Drosophila melanogaster: one gene and its partner. The protein of the gene in region 2 interacts with the protein of the main gene of each other region in a pairwise test. Each region holds a gene or a part of one and is shown on either strand. Other genes may lie near its edges.

Region 1 (6,996 bases), about 13 Mb from region 2:
GTTGGGGATGCCGATGAGGAAGGTGGCCGCCCCATCCAGTTGCATCGTATAGTACATGGCCAGCTTTCCCAGCTCCACGTTCCTCTGCTGGCAGATTTCGGCCCCCCGTTTGGCCACGGCCAGGATTTCCTGACTACCGGGATGCGATGCATGTGGTCCAGCGTTTCTCAAGAGTCCCAATGAGTGAGCGGCCGCACAGACAACGCCCACTCCCATTTTCTGGAAGTCCTTCATGTAGCGCAGCAAGGTGTTGTCTAAAAGGGTGTAACGAGCATAGTTGAGCACCACCTGAATGCGACCCTTGCCCCGCTCGGCACACTCCTTCAGCACGTCCACATCGTAGGCGGTGACTCCGATGAATCGAGCCTTTCCCGCCTGGACGTACTCCTCGAGGACGGGTATGGTCTCATTCAGCACTATGTCTAGATTGGGTGCCGCGTCCACGTCATGAACCTGTCATAAGGGCCATATTAGTTCACCAGCTTATAGACGAATCTACCAAACCCACCTGTAGTATGTCCACCCTGTCCAACTGGAGCCGCTCCAGACTCCGCTTCACACTCTCCCGAGCTTTGTCAGCCGAATAGTCAAACATATTCTTCGGATCCAGCCCGTAGCGCGCCACTTTAGTGGCAATATAATAGGCCTCCCGGGGTACATCCTTTAGGGCCTGGCCAAGCAGCACCTCCGATAGAATGGAGCTGTGTCTATATAGTTAATGCCAGATCTAATGGCCTCCTGCACCATAAGGATGCCCTCCTCGCGATCATAGTCATCAAAGAAGAGATTGCAAAGGGGGGAGCCACCTATAGCTAATTTAGACACGTGCAGACCCGTGGATCCGAGTTGGCGGTACTCCATACGACGCACCTTCTCCTCATCGTGGAAACCCTTGACGAAAGTAGCTGGCAGTGATCCCGACATCCTTTTCTGTTCAACTAACAAGTTTGAATGAAAGGAACAACTAAAAAAATCGGGCTTTTATATGATTTGGGGACCAGGTTTTCAGATAAGAACTGTGGGGGTAAATAAGTAATTTTTCACTTTGTTTGAGTGAGTTCCGTAATATAATTGCCCCGATTAGCAAGATTTTCTTATTGATAAGGTGTGGAAGAGAATTCCGGCTCTTTGTTCGCATTATCAACTTAGCTCTCAAACAGTACGATTCTGAAAATCATATTATTGTATATCAGCCACATTTTTTAAGAGAAAAGCGAGCCATAGTTGCAACAACTAGTTGTAGCGATACAATGGGATTTTTGCGGCTTTTTTTCAGTGCCTGTCTAAGGAGCTCTTCAGAGTTAGTGCCAGATTTTTGTTTCGAAATCAAAGCTAAAAAAGAAAATATATTAACTTCTAAATTGCACAACATTTTTATAATATTTTATAAATATAAGTCAAGGCAGCTCACATAAATTGGCCTTGCCCTATATTATTGAATACATAATCGCAACTTCATCCAAAATTTCTAGAACTTTCTGTTTTTTTGTTTTCATTCGAATATATTGCGCGGTCTGTTGAAATTCGATCGGCAGTCAGAGAAGTACTGCCTGCTTAATATTATAAATATAACTTATATTCTGAACAACACAGATTGCCTCTTATCAAAGAGAGAATAGTTCTGTATCGGAGCGGTTTTAACGTGTTTGAACAAATCTTTTATTATCTCTTCTCGAATTAAAATTAAGAGAGGGAGTGGATTTTTTTAAGGGAAAGTAGTCTTAAATGAAAAGCCTCTTCAGAAGTATTCTGTTTTGCAATAAACGGTAGTCGCTTTTGAGAGGCTTTCTTCTCTTGCCTTTCTCATTGGATCTTTTGAGGCAAAGAAAACAAATATTAATCAGCTGAATCAAAGCTGTGTTTGATTATTATCTGTAATCTTAAATGACCTGAACTGTTGGCCCAACTGAACTTGATCTTATCTGGGAATAACTTAATCATAAATTTGCATAAAGTTTGCTTTAGGCCGACTGTTATAAAAAATAAATAGGTTCAAAAATATTCATTTAATATTTTATTTCAGTGAATATTATAATCTAAAGTTTATTTTAAATCCGTTCTCCCTGCATTACCAAAGATTTCTTGGTCTTGGAGCTCAAGTTCGATTGCCCGTCCAAGTGGTCGCTCATTTGAACATGTTAACCGTGGATAAAGTGGAGCCCCAACTGTAGGACTTGGTAAAAACGCTGAAACGAAGACAGAAAAGGAAACCAATGTATTGTAGCGATTGGAATGGAGATTTAACGCTAGCAGTCTGCTCTGGATCGAGCTACCATTAACCAGTTTGGCCAGGCCGAGGCCAAGTTCGTGCCCGTGATGCAATAGCAGGATTGGTAACACCAAATCCGACTTGCACAGTTCGGCGTAACCAGTTGTTGGCCAACTTACTTTTCGCGCAGATACTGCAGCACTTCCTGTTCGTGGGAAGTGAGACCGTCGAAGATCGCGTCCAAGTTAATCCGCAGCAGCTTTCGGTTGGGGATACCGATGAGGAAGGTGGCCGCCCCATCCAGTTGCATTGTATAGTACATGGCCAGCTTTCCAAGCTCAACGTTCCTCTTCTGACAGATTTCGGCTCCCCGTTTGCCCACAGCTAGGAGTTCCGGACTACCAGGATGCCAGGACTGGGGTCCAGCGTTGCTTAGGAGTCCCAGAGAGTGCGCGGCCGCACAGACAACGCCCACGCCCATCTCCTGGAAGGCCTTCATGTGGCGCAGCAAAGTGTTGTCCAACAGGGTGTAGCGGGCATAGTTGAGCACCACCTGGATGCGACCTTTGCCCCGCTCGGCACACTCCTTCAGCACGTCCACATCGTAGGCGGTGACTCCGATGAATCGAGCCTTTCCCGCCTGGACGTACTCCTCGAGGACGGGTATGGTCTCATTCAGCACCATGTCCAGACTAGGTGCCGCATCCACGTCATGAACCTGTCACAAGGTGTTAGTTTATAGACAAATCTATATATTGGTATACCAAACACACCTGTAGTACGTCCACCCTGTCCAACTGGAGCAGCTCCAGACTACGCTTCACACTCTCCCGAGCCTTGGCAGCCGTATAGTCGAACATATTGTTTGGATCCAACTCGTAACGTGCAACTTTAGTTGCTATATAATAGGCCTCCCGGGGCACATCCTTGAGCGCCTGGCCAAGCAGCTCTTCCGATTTGCCTTGGCCATAAAAGGGAGCCGTGTCTATGTAGTTGATACCGGATCTAATGGCTTCCTGCACCGTGAGGATGCCCTCCTCGCGATCGAAGTCATCGGAGAAGAGCTTGGAGAGAGTGGCACCACCCAAAGCAATTTTGGATACTCGCAGACCCGTGGATCCGAGTTGGCGGTACTCCATACGACGCACCTTCTCCTCATCGTGGAAACCCTTGACGAAAGTAGCTGGCAGTGATCCCGACATCCTTTTCGCTTCAATTAACAAGCTTGAATGAATAGAACTCCTAGAAAAATGGCACTTTATAAGTGCATAAAGTGATTTTAACATATGTAGGTATGAGTGAGTTCCAAAATAGATTTGCCTCCCTTAGCAAGCTTCTCTTCGTGATAAGCTGTGGAAGAGAAGGTTCGCTCTTAGTTCTTTATATATATTACTATGTAATTTCGCATTATTAATGTAGCTCTCTGTAAGAATGATTCTAAAAATTGTGATATCATATACCAACCACATTTTTTAAAGAGAAAACCAATTCCCAATTAAGGTAATTCCTTTTAATACCTTGCATGTGAACAATAAGCATAACTCCGATCATGTTTGTTTTAATACTATTTATTTTATTTATCAGAGGAGATTCTGAGCTTTTTGCGGCTTCCAATCAGTTGACAAATCGTTAAGAGTAAATATAAATATCTGCTTTATATATCAATATGCATGAGATGGGGACGAGCACCGCTCAGAAGAAGACATCGAAATCGCCCTGTGGCTGATAGCCAGCTCCGGGCGGGATCAGCTGGGGTCGCTGCTGTTGCTGGCGCTGTGGGCGTGGCACGATGATGTCGTTGATCTCATGGAGAATTCCATTGGTGGCCACCACATCGCACTTGGTGACGCCGGCGTTCTCGATCTTGGGACGACGATCGCGGGTGATACGCAGATGCTGGCCAGAGATGGACTCGATGGAGCGGACAAATGGCCAGTTGGTTGGGATAATGCCGGCACAGCAGACAACATCCTCAACGATATGGGTTTTGACCAAGGCCATGGGATCGGCGGGCTTTGAACCCTCACCGGACTCGTTCAGCTCCTCGAAGATATCGTTCTTTGGCACCAGCAGGGTGAGACTCCTCGAATCGTTGGACAGCAGCTGTGTAAGATTAGCCTTACGAACCAGCTCCAGGAACTTGCTGTAGTTGGGATTAGCCTCCAGCAGCTTAAGCATGTTCTGTGGAATATTTACAAATAAGCATAAGCTTTAAATTCCGTGATAACCTCGTAGAACTCACATTCTTGGGAGGCGCCAAGGCACGATCCACCTGGTGGAGAACGGATCCGCAGCTCTCGTCATCGAAGTGCACCAAACGGGCACAGTTTACCGTTGCCCGGTTCATCACGTCCGAGAAGAGAGCATGGGTGGAGTACAGGTTCAGACGCACACTAGATCCAGCAACCGTGGGCAGGGACTTCTCCGACAGGTCACAGGTCTTGATCATGGGCTTGACCACATGGTAGTTAAGGAACTCCAGCAGATCCAAGTTATGATTCAGCAGCTCCGGCTGTTCCTTGAGCATGCGAGCCCATTCCGTATTCTGCAGAGCCTTGTCAGTTGGTGCAAAGATGGTCACGTTGTCCAGATCGTCGAACTGATCATCGTAGCCGGAGGCCTCCAGCAATCGCTGGAAGATGGTCAGGTTCTTTTGCGACATCAGCGAGGTCATGGGCAGAGCCGATTCGGTGGGCAGGATGGTGTCGATTACGTGCAGCACACCATTGGTGCCCATGATATCGGCATCAATGATTTTGGCCAAGTTATTGATGTAGATGGGAGTCGGTCCAGTCTGATTCGCAGCGCGGTGGGTTCGGTTGAGGAGCAGGGGTTCTCCCAGTAGATTGTAGGCCGTCGTCTTGGCACCCGGAACAGTGGCCAGCGAGCAGAAGGTGAGGTCCAGCAAATGGTTCTTCAGGATGTCTACCGGATAAATGGGAATCATATTATATTAGTTAGTTAGCTGCTTGTGGATAAGTTTCCAGACCAACTCACTGGAGGCACAACCGCGACCTTCCTTGAGGGCTCGACGCAGATGAGGTTCCAACTTGTCGAAGGCGGCATCGGTGGGCACAAAGATGGTCACTGGCTTGTCATCCTCTAGCATGGCGCTCAGGTTGGTCTTCTCCAGAACGGTGCGCATAATGGACATATCCGCACGCTCCCTGATGATATCCATAAGGTTCTTGGTCAGCGGCTTCAGGACTCCGCCCAGAGTGTGGACAAGGGCCTGCTCCGAGAGCTTGTCGTGCTTCTCGATGGGCACACAGTTGGCGGCAAAGCGGTAGGGTTCCAGGCCCAAAGCCGCAGGCAGCTGGTAGCTGTTGATGCGGATCTTCTGGTCAGGCAGCTCCGTCTGCAGAAGCTTCTCATTGGGCACATCCTCCAGCTGAACTTCGCCGAGAACAGCGTGCAGTTTGTAGATGGATGGCTTGGAAGCCTCGGCCTTGGCATCTTCCACATTCTGTTGTACGCAAAGAATTCTCATTTATTTACATGAATTTTAGTAACCAAAGGCATGCTCACATTCTCCTGCTGATGATGACCACGGTACTCCATGAAGGCGGCGTCGTTGGGCACGAAGAGGGTCACCTTCTTGCCACTGCCTGCTCCGAGCATATCGGCCAGCTCACCGGCGGTGCGTGCACTCTCCAGGAACTGCTTGGCACCCATGTCACTGGCCGTGGCCTCCACGTCCTTGATGTCGATCTTCTCGCAGGGCGTTGTGAAGTCAGCGTTTCTGGGGCGTCCATATCCATAGCAGCACTGGCGGGTCAGCGTCAGCGTTTTCTTCTTGCCATTTTGATTCACGCTGCAGGGGATAAAGTGTTCAATCAATTGGATGAGATTAGGTAATCCTACTGTAATCTGCTTACATCTTGGTGCAGACGTGCTTGTTGGGCTTCTCGGCGCAGGAGTTAACGCTGAACTGGAACTGGCCAAAGAGTGGGGATCGCACCACGTTGGTAACGCCATCACGTTCCTGGCCAAAGGTGTCCACGGTTTCTTCTGCCTCCGTTTCACTGGCCACAGTCTCGTCTTCCTCCTTTTCGGTGCACACATTGGGTCTGAATAAAGCGAAAAATTGGTTATTGGTTAACAATGTGATGTAGTAATAGTTTGGCGAAATGAACAAATATAATTCAAGGCAATCGTTTTTCGAGACTCAAATACATAAGCTTTAAAAATAGTGTATTTCAGGCATATATTCAAATCATTAGTTTTATAAGTTATCTTCAATGAGCAATTACTAATAACTTGTTGCTATATTTAATCTATGATGATCATTCTCCCTTTACGTTCTCTACAAATTATAGCCAAACCTGCTAATGAATTGGTCATATAACAGACATGCAAATCGAAATGTCAATGCACTATATAGCACTATATACCACTATACATATATGTATATAATTTTGATTCAACCCTAAATTCCTATATATCCACAACTCCGAATCCAATCCAACTTAGTCGGTTGATCGGCACTCGCTAACCGATTGTTTGCCCAATGGATTTGCACAATGAGTCCGGCACATAGAAAGCATAGTTATATTATACAAACTGACTTTTATATAAATGCGTATGTGTGTTGGCTTAACAGCTTTGCCAGTCCATCAATTCAATTATGGCAGCGATGAGAGGAGTCTACTGAATGCGAACTCATTGTGTGCGTAGATTTTAGAAATTTCTCACTGAACCATAGATACACAGTCGCATACATACATACATACATATGTTTGTAATGCAGCTAATTTATCAATTTGCCACATCTGTGACTTTCATTT
Region 2 (6,996 bases):
CATCGGGTTCGCATAAAACCTTTTCGGGACCATTTACACTGAATAGAATATAGTAAGAATATGAACATAACTTCATGAATTGCATCAAACCTACCTCCGGAAAGAAGTGCTGTGGGAACTTGGACTTTTCTTTGGTAGCAATAGTTTCAATATTTCCGGAATAGATATGTTTATCCTTAACATCTTGAAGACTTTCTTCCCAGCTGTGAGTTAGGAAGTTCCAGATCTTCAGAGAAGCAACATCCTTATGCACAAAGTAAAGACTTCCAAGGGCCTAAAAATAATAATACAATAATGTGGGTATTTGTTTTAACCGGATATAACATTTTTGTATGTTGATATGTGAATTCAAGAGACTCATTCATCATGACTAAGCCCAGTGACTTAATTCATATTTTTTAAAAGGCTTTCGTCGCAATTTTAATTGAACAATAAGTGCGTAACGCCTCAGTTCATCCGAATTGGGTTTTTATGTGCCGATTGACCTAGAAACACGATTCACCCACCCACCGTAAAGTGCTCGGCCGATTTGAAGTCCTCGTCCATGAAGATGTGTACGCAGGTGAAGTCGCCCATTTCGGGAGCATCGCAGAGGCACCTGATGAACTCCTGGACGTACTCCATGGACTTCTCGTACGTCTTGCCGCCCACCTCCTGTAGGTGGAGGGCCAGGAAACGGGGCTGTGCGACGGCGATCTTTGCAAGAAATTCGCTTAGCCATAGCTGCAGAAGCCTCTCCGGCTGCAAATTGGATTGGAAATTCGATTATCGGCGGGCGCTGAATGTGCTGAATACCAATTTGTTTGGGAACTCGGATTCGGATATACATATCTATGTATGTCACTGGGCCCATACATAAATATGCGATTTACGCATCGTGTATGTATGGGCCGTACGTAAACATGTATACTTCCTAGCCCTGTGGACATGGCGCATCCGTTCCAACGGCCACTTACGTCCTCAAATAGGCTGCCAACGTTTGCCGTGACCAGAAACACATCCGTGCTGGACGCGTCTTCCTGTGCTGACTCCATTTGATCCCACTTTCGCCTGCGATGCAACAATTTTATTCACTTTTTATCAGCGTTCCAATTGTAAATACTAATTGAGTCAAGGCGCAGTGTGACCATACCGCCTGGCGAAAACTAGGCCATTTCGATTATTAGCTTTTAAGTGACCGTAATCGTTTATATTTCAAATATATTTATGCATATCTCTGCAGTTTTTTAATTAAACTTATTTATTTCGTTTACATTGAATAATACAATACCCCTCACGAATTTAAATAGTTAAGCTTCATTTCTTTCATATTTTGTTAACTTTAGGTTTCAGAATCGTAATTAGGTCACTTCCGGCAGTGACCGAGATAAAAGTAACGGTAATATCATGAGTACAATGGCCAGTTAAAAGTAGATATAAACAATTAAATGGCACAGGGAATAGAAATTAATGGGTTTGGACAAAGCAATAACATTGAAACTTGCAGGTTTCTAATGTTTTACAGTTCTTTGATCCTTAATATTATTATTTATCCTATTATCTTGACTAAGTTTTTGAATTTCAGTGTAACTGCAATTAAATGCGTATAAATGCAGCTCGAAATTAACAATTCATGCGGTGTGGTGGCACATTAAGCAATTTGGTGATCCGTTGTCTATATTATAAGCATATCCGCCGACATAAAACTATTAAGGCCCATTAAGACCTACGGTGTACATCATCTTTTCATTCAAACAGCTTACAGTAGTTACTGCGTACTGCGTATGACGGTTTCAATCTTTGACAGAATTCCTAAGTATCTTCAAAAGTATTACAACCGCAACACTTGTCCGAAATGTCTTCAATTTGTGTCACTTATGCAAATCCGTAATTCCCACAAAACGGGTTTAACAATTTGTCAAAAATTCGATGTCAAATGCCCAAATGAAACACAAACTGGCAAACACTATATAATATAGGCGGTTTGCTATTTCCAGGCTTTTTGAAAGTTGGGTAGTGAAAGTTGTATTGAACTCTGTGCGTCTCTTTCGAAATCTCCAACACAATCCAAGCGATTGCACGTAGCATGAATACTGAACAGCACGTGAGACGGTAGCCACATTTCTTGCAAGAATACACAAGTGAATTCAATTCCTCCACTCCGGCTCCACGCTGCACATATATGCCCTATAAGTGGGGGCCAAGCCTTACGGGGGAAATGCGATGGCAGTTATAAATACTTGCACACACGTCCGTCCACCTGATATTTTCTTTGCCACAATGTTTTCGGCCCCAAATTTATAAAGAGACGGACGGCAGGCAAACCGTTTATTGTACTTTTAGGAACCGCTTAACTCATATCTCAACGCGATCGCAAAATGCGTACCGAATACCTGGTCGTTCTGATTATATGCACTTCCTGCATTTGCATTAGTGCTGGAGATAGCTATTCCGGGGATATTCAAAGCTCGAACTCATTGGATTTCGGTGTGTGAAAGATAATAGGGATCAAAAGAGATTCTAAAGTGCTGAAAAACCTTATAGTAAAGCAAACTGAAAGTGAAATTAATAATATACACTTACAAATATATGTGTTTCTGTACTATCAATTGGCACTGAGTGCTTAAAACGATAATTCAGTGTACAAACAACTATTCAAATCTTTATGACAGAAGTCATTGGATTAACTTCTTGGATTATCCTTGAATGCTAAACTTATAAGATTCTTTCGCATTTATTAGGCAACGATAGTGGGGGCTACAGCTACAGCTCCCCGCCGAGCAACAGCTACTTGCCTCCAGCCACACCTGCTCCGGAGTACCTGCCTCCGCCGAACAATGGATACCAGTACAATCCGCCGCCGAACAACAACTACCTGCCACCGCCTAACAACAACTATCTGCCTCCTCCTCCTGAATATGGACCGCCAGCTGGCTATCCTTCCTATGGACCACCACCTCCTCCGTTTTACAAGCCAGCTCCGTTCATTCCCTACCATTCGCACGACTCCATTCTGGAAAAGCTTAAGTCCAAGATCAATCTGTATACGCTTGGAAAGATTTTGCTCAAGCTGTTGATATTCAAGAAAATCGTCAAGTTCATCGGCCTGATTTTCTTGCTCTTGGTTCTGCCGAAGCTGAAAAACATTTTCAAGGATGATATGATGTCTGGATCTGGTGAGAGCGATGGCATGGAAAGCAAACTTGTAGAGACAGATAAGGGTAAGGTGTTTCTATATAGTGCTTTAAGCATTAATTATTAATATTTATATTTCTCCCTTTTACAGATAAACTAGCCCAACAAATTGAGAACCTATACGATTTTGTAATAAACTCGATAGAAAGTTTTGAAGGAAGAAGTTCGTAGATCAATACCAAAATTAGTTATAAATGCATTGTTACAAATTGTATTACACTTGATTATTTATTTGTTAAAGTCTTATAAATAAAAGTATTTCGTATTTTACTCTTGTGTTTGAACTTGGGGCATATCATTGATTCAGACTGGTTCTTAAATCAATCCAACATCCTGATGGCTTGATACGCTTAATTAGGTTCTTGAACAGTACTCATTAAGTAGTCGGCCTATCTACCAGAATATTAGCCAAGGTACACATTTGTACCTGCAAACGTACCTAGGTACGAAAGCTGTCACCTTGCGCATCACTGGCGACGATACATTTCGCCGACTATCGATAGACGGGCTCACTCTGCGTCCGCATCCAAGTTGCGATCGGATTCATTCGCATTCGCCAGTGATCAACTCCGCTGCTGCAGATCCACAGCCAAAAAATGCTGCACATAGTATCGGTTGTTATTATAGCCCTGAGTCTGGGCTGTGCCGTTGGCCAGGATTTGCGGCGTGTGGACGACACCGAGTTGATTCAACTCCTGACCGGCAGCAGCAATGTGGTTGTCCTATTCAGTGAGTATTGGTAGGAAAGTCAGCCAGAGAAATCCAGCCTACGTGTCCACTGTGCATATGGAGGATGGTACACCGGTTACTGGCTAACGAGCACACTTAATTGCAGACAAAAACAATTGCCAGCGCTGCGTGGAATATGAGAACATGGTGACCAAGATACGTGCCCAGCTGGAGGAGACCTTGTCGGCCATTGTGGTCCAGTCGGTGGACAGCAACCTGGTATCCATCTATGACCCCAGCAAGGAGCCCGCTTTGGTGTTCTTCAGGCGAGGAATACCCATTCTATACCATGGCGAGATCAACGATGACGAAATCCTAGACTTCTTCAATGACAACTTAGAGCCAGCGGTCAAAGAGCTTTCCGACGACAACTTCGAGCACCTGACTCAAGCCTCGTCGGGTGCCACTACCGGGGACTGGTTTATCTTCTTGTAAGCTATATTAGTCATGCGTTGAGGTCGCCATCTAAGCGTCATGAGATGTACATATATGTGCACATATGCTCACCTACACCCACTTCCAGCTCTTCGGCCGAATGTACCGTCTGTCAGCGACTCTATGCCGTTTGGGAGTCTGTGGGCGGAAAGCTAAAGCGAAAGCTGAATATTGCCCGCATGAACAGTTTGGAGTCTGGAATCTCAACTGCTACGCGACTGGGAGTATTGGAAGCACCGGCTTTTATTTTGTAAGCCCTGATCGCTTTGGTTGTGTCCAAGAATAGATTATATAAATTATAATCATTACAGCTTGAGGCAAGGAAAGATGTACAAATATTCAGCCAAGCAATACAGTCCCGAAGCCTTTGTCCAGTTTGCTGAGAAGGGATATACCCAGAGCCATCCTCAACCAGTGCCCGCAATCCCAAGTGCCGTGTAAGTATTCCTCTCATAGCTAAAATGATTTTAAATTCATCCATCGATCGAATTTTAAACTCAAAGTCCGATTATGACCTTTTTATAGGGATTTGTGAGAAACTGATACATGTGTTTAGTAAGTGAGCCAAGATAAAACTTGTAAACCTATTAATAATTACTATTAGTTAACAAATACTGATTCTTTGTCCCCGGTACAAGGTTGCATATAACGCCAGTTTGAGGGTATTCAACATAGACACTGATTCCACCATCGAGCATAAAACAATTGTTAATATCACTCCGTTGATTAATATCGAACCAAATGTTAATCGTAACCGTTGTATATTATCCAGTTTGTACATAAACAATATTACATTAATCAATTATACCCTGGTTAAAACAGTTCCTGGTTTGAGAAGATCGAATTTAATACTACACAACGTTTATCCTAATAACCAATGATCAAATGAGCTAATGTTTTAACTTTCGTGCTTTTCAGAAACGAATTTTTGGGCCCACTGCAAAGTTATTTTGCAGCTGAAAACATAACATCGCTGGCGACTTTGAGTATTTTCGCCTTAGTTGCTCTCTTATTCGTTGGCAAAAAGGTTGCCAAAATATTCAGTTCAGAGCCTGCGAAAACAAAAAATAAGTCGAAATAAAACTAATATAAAGACTAAATGAAACACGACGTTTTTGAATTAGTCGAGTGACAACAATTAGCGGAAAAGTGGGCGCGAAAATTCAACTGCTGCAATTCCTAACGCCACAAAAACTGGCAGCTCTTTTGGCTGGAACGGTGGAAGCGGAACATGCAAATATGGATACCTAATATCGCAAAAGATCCATTGTTCACTGGCGCACAACGCTGACAATACCTATATCCTATCTCTTGATTGCTTTCAATTAATTAGCGGGCAAGCAAACAAAAATATTTAGATCGGCCCATTTAGCAACTGGGCTCGGAGTTCAGGGGCTAACTCGGCTAGCAATCTAGCCAATTGCTTAAGTGCGATGATAGTTTGGCGTGGAACGCTCAAATTAAAGCAGCGTTTCGTTTCGTAAAGCGTGAGATTCGCGATCGTGTTGTTAGGCAGTTTTTTTTTATTTGTTTCGCAGCGGTCATCGTTGGCGTAAGCGTATTCCTCGGAACCTGGATTTTTTGTATCTTGGGGTAAATCACTCAAAACACGCTATTTATACACCCGCTGATACCCAAATACACGCAAATGTACCCGAATTGGTGTTGGTTAAAACACAGTGCTCGCTAAATGTCAGCTGACGTCAGAAGGTCTTGAAAAAAGAGCGAGGAGTACACACGAACACAAAAACGATTACGAATACGAGTGGGACGTATATATGTGTAGTGCGGTATATCGATATCGGTAGATCGAGAGAGAACACTACACTCACACGACACTCACATTCGCATTCGCAGCGACTTTCGATTGAGATTTTGGTTGGCTGTGGCTGTAGTCAAGCGAGCGCACATGAGTCAGATTCGTAGCTTTTGTTTTGTTCAGTCGAGTGCGAGTTCTGTGCGATTCAGATACTCGCTGCCATCCGAACCGAACTGAAGTCCAAGTCGAATCTAATGTGCGTACTTACGTGTAGAACAGTTCAAGAAAATGTGCAGACATTCAACGGTCGCATTTGTGTGGATGTGTGGTTGTAGTGAAGAGTGCCAGCATTAATCGCATTTTTCCCCTGCACGAGCACCACGACTAGAAAATACTCGACACGTCTGTCTGTTTTTCTGCTTTATTGCTTCTACGCTATTCTGCTTTTCCGTTTCGGTTTTCCTCCGCTTGGCCTAGTGAAAAACAACAAATTTGATTATATTGTGTAAGTTATGTCTAGCATTGAAAAGATGAAAAGTGTCATTCCTATAAATACACCACCACCTCGGGAAAGGCACTCGCAATAGAGAAACTGGCCAAAACCCAACAACAAACATAACAAACAAAGGAACCGCTGAATATAACCAAACTTCGGAGTAGGGGCTGAGCTAAAAAGTATAGTGCGCAGCCATCATGACTAACTCACCACCCAAAACGCCAGCCCAATTACAGAAAATCGATATTCTAGTCGCGCTGTAACGCTGCGTAGCTGCTAAATACACAGCTCCCTACCTGCAAACAACCCGAATACAAAAAAAAAAAAAAGAAAACTACGAATAACAAAACAGTCAGGCGAGGCATTAGTATACCGAAAAGCGAAAACCACTTCCGCCAATGGT

Evidence for each region.
Region 1: the proteins of CG11790 (region 2) and CG3397 interact in a two-hybrid assay, tested with the Drosophila melanogaster proteins (one large-scale study listed by BioGRID).

What each region holds. Positions count from the first base shown.
Region 1 is NT_033777.3:11,981,098-11,988,093, forward strand, and holds CG3397 (uncharacterized protein), read right to left. Parts: upstream 3,445-6,996; 5' UTR 3,412-3,444; coding exon 2,983-3,411; intron 2,928-2,982; coding exon 2,389-2,927; intron 2,187-2,388; coding exon 2,126-2,186; 3' UTR 2,001-2,125; downstream 1-2,000. Other genes in the region: mfas (midline fasciclin), read right to left, coding at 3,902-4,390, 4,452-5,134, 5,207-5,675, 5,738-6,023, 6,088-6,279.
Region 2 is NT_033777.3:25,044,016-25,051,011, forward strand, and holds CG11790 (uncharacterized protein), read left to right. Parts: upstream 1-3,690; 5' UTR 3,691-3,770; coding exon 3,771-3,903; exon of another isoform or gene 3,904-4,009; coding exon 4,010-4,334; intron 4,335-4,426; coding exon 4,427-4,588; intron 4,589-4,649; coding exon 4,650-4,775; intron 4,776-4,863; coding exon of another isoform or gene 4,864-4,873; exon of another isoform or gene 4,874-4,893; intron 4,894-5,256; coding exon 5,257-5,419; 3' UTR 5,420-5,440; downstream 5,441-6,996. Other genes in the region: 5PtaseI (inositol polyphosphate-5-phosphatase type I), read right to left, coding at 1-38, 95-274, 511-741, 957-1,034; CG11786 (uncharacterized protein), read left to right, coding at 2,358-2,466, 2,721-3,200, 3,266-3,345.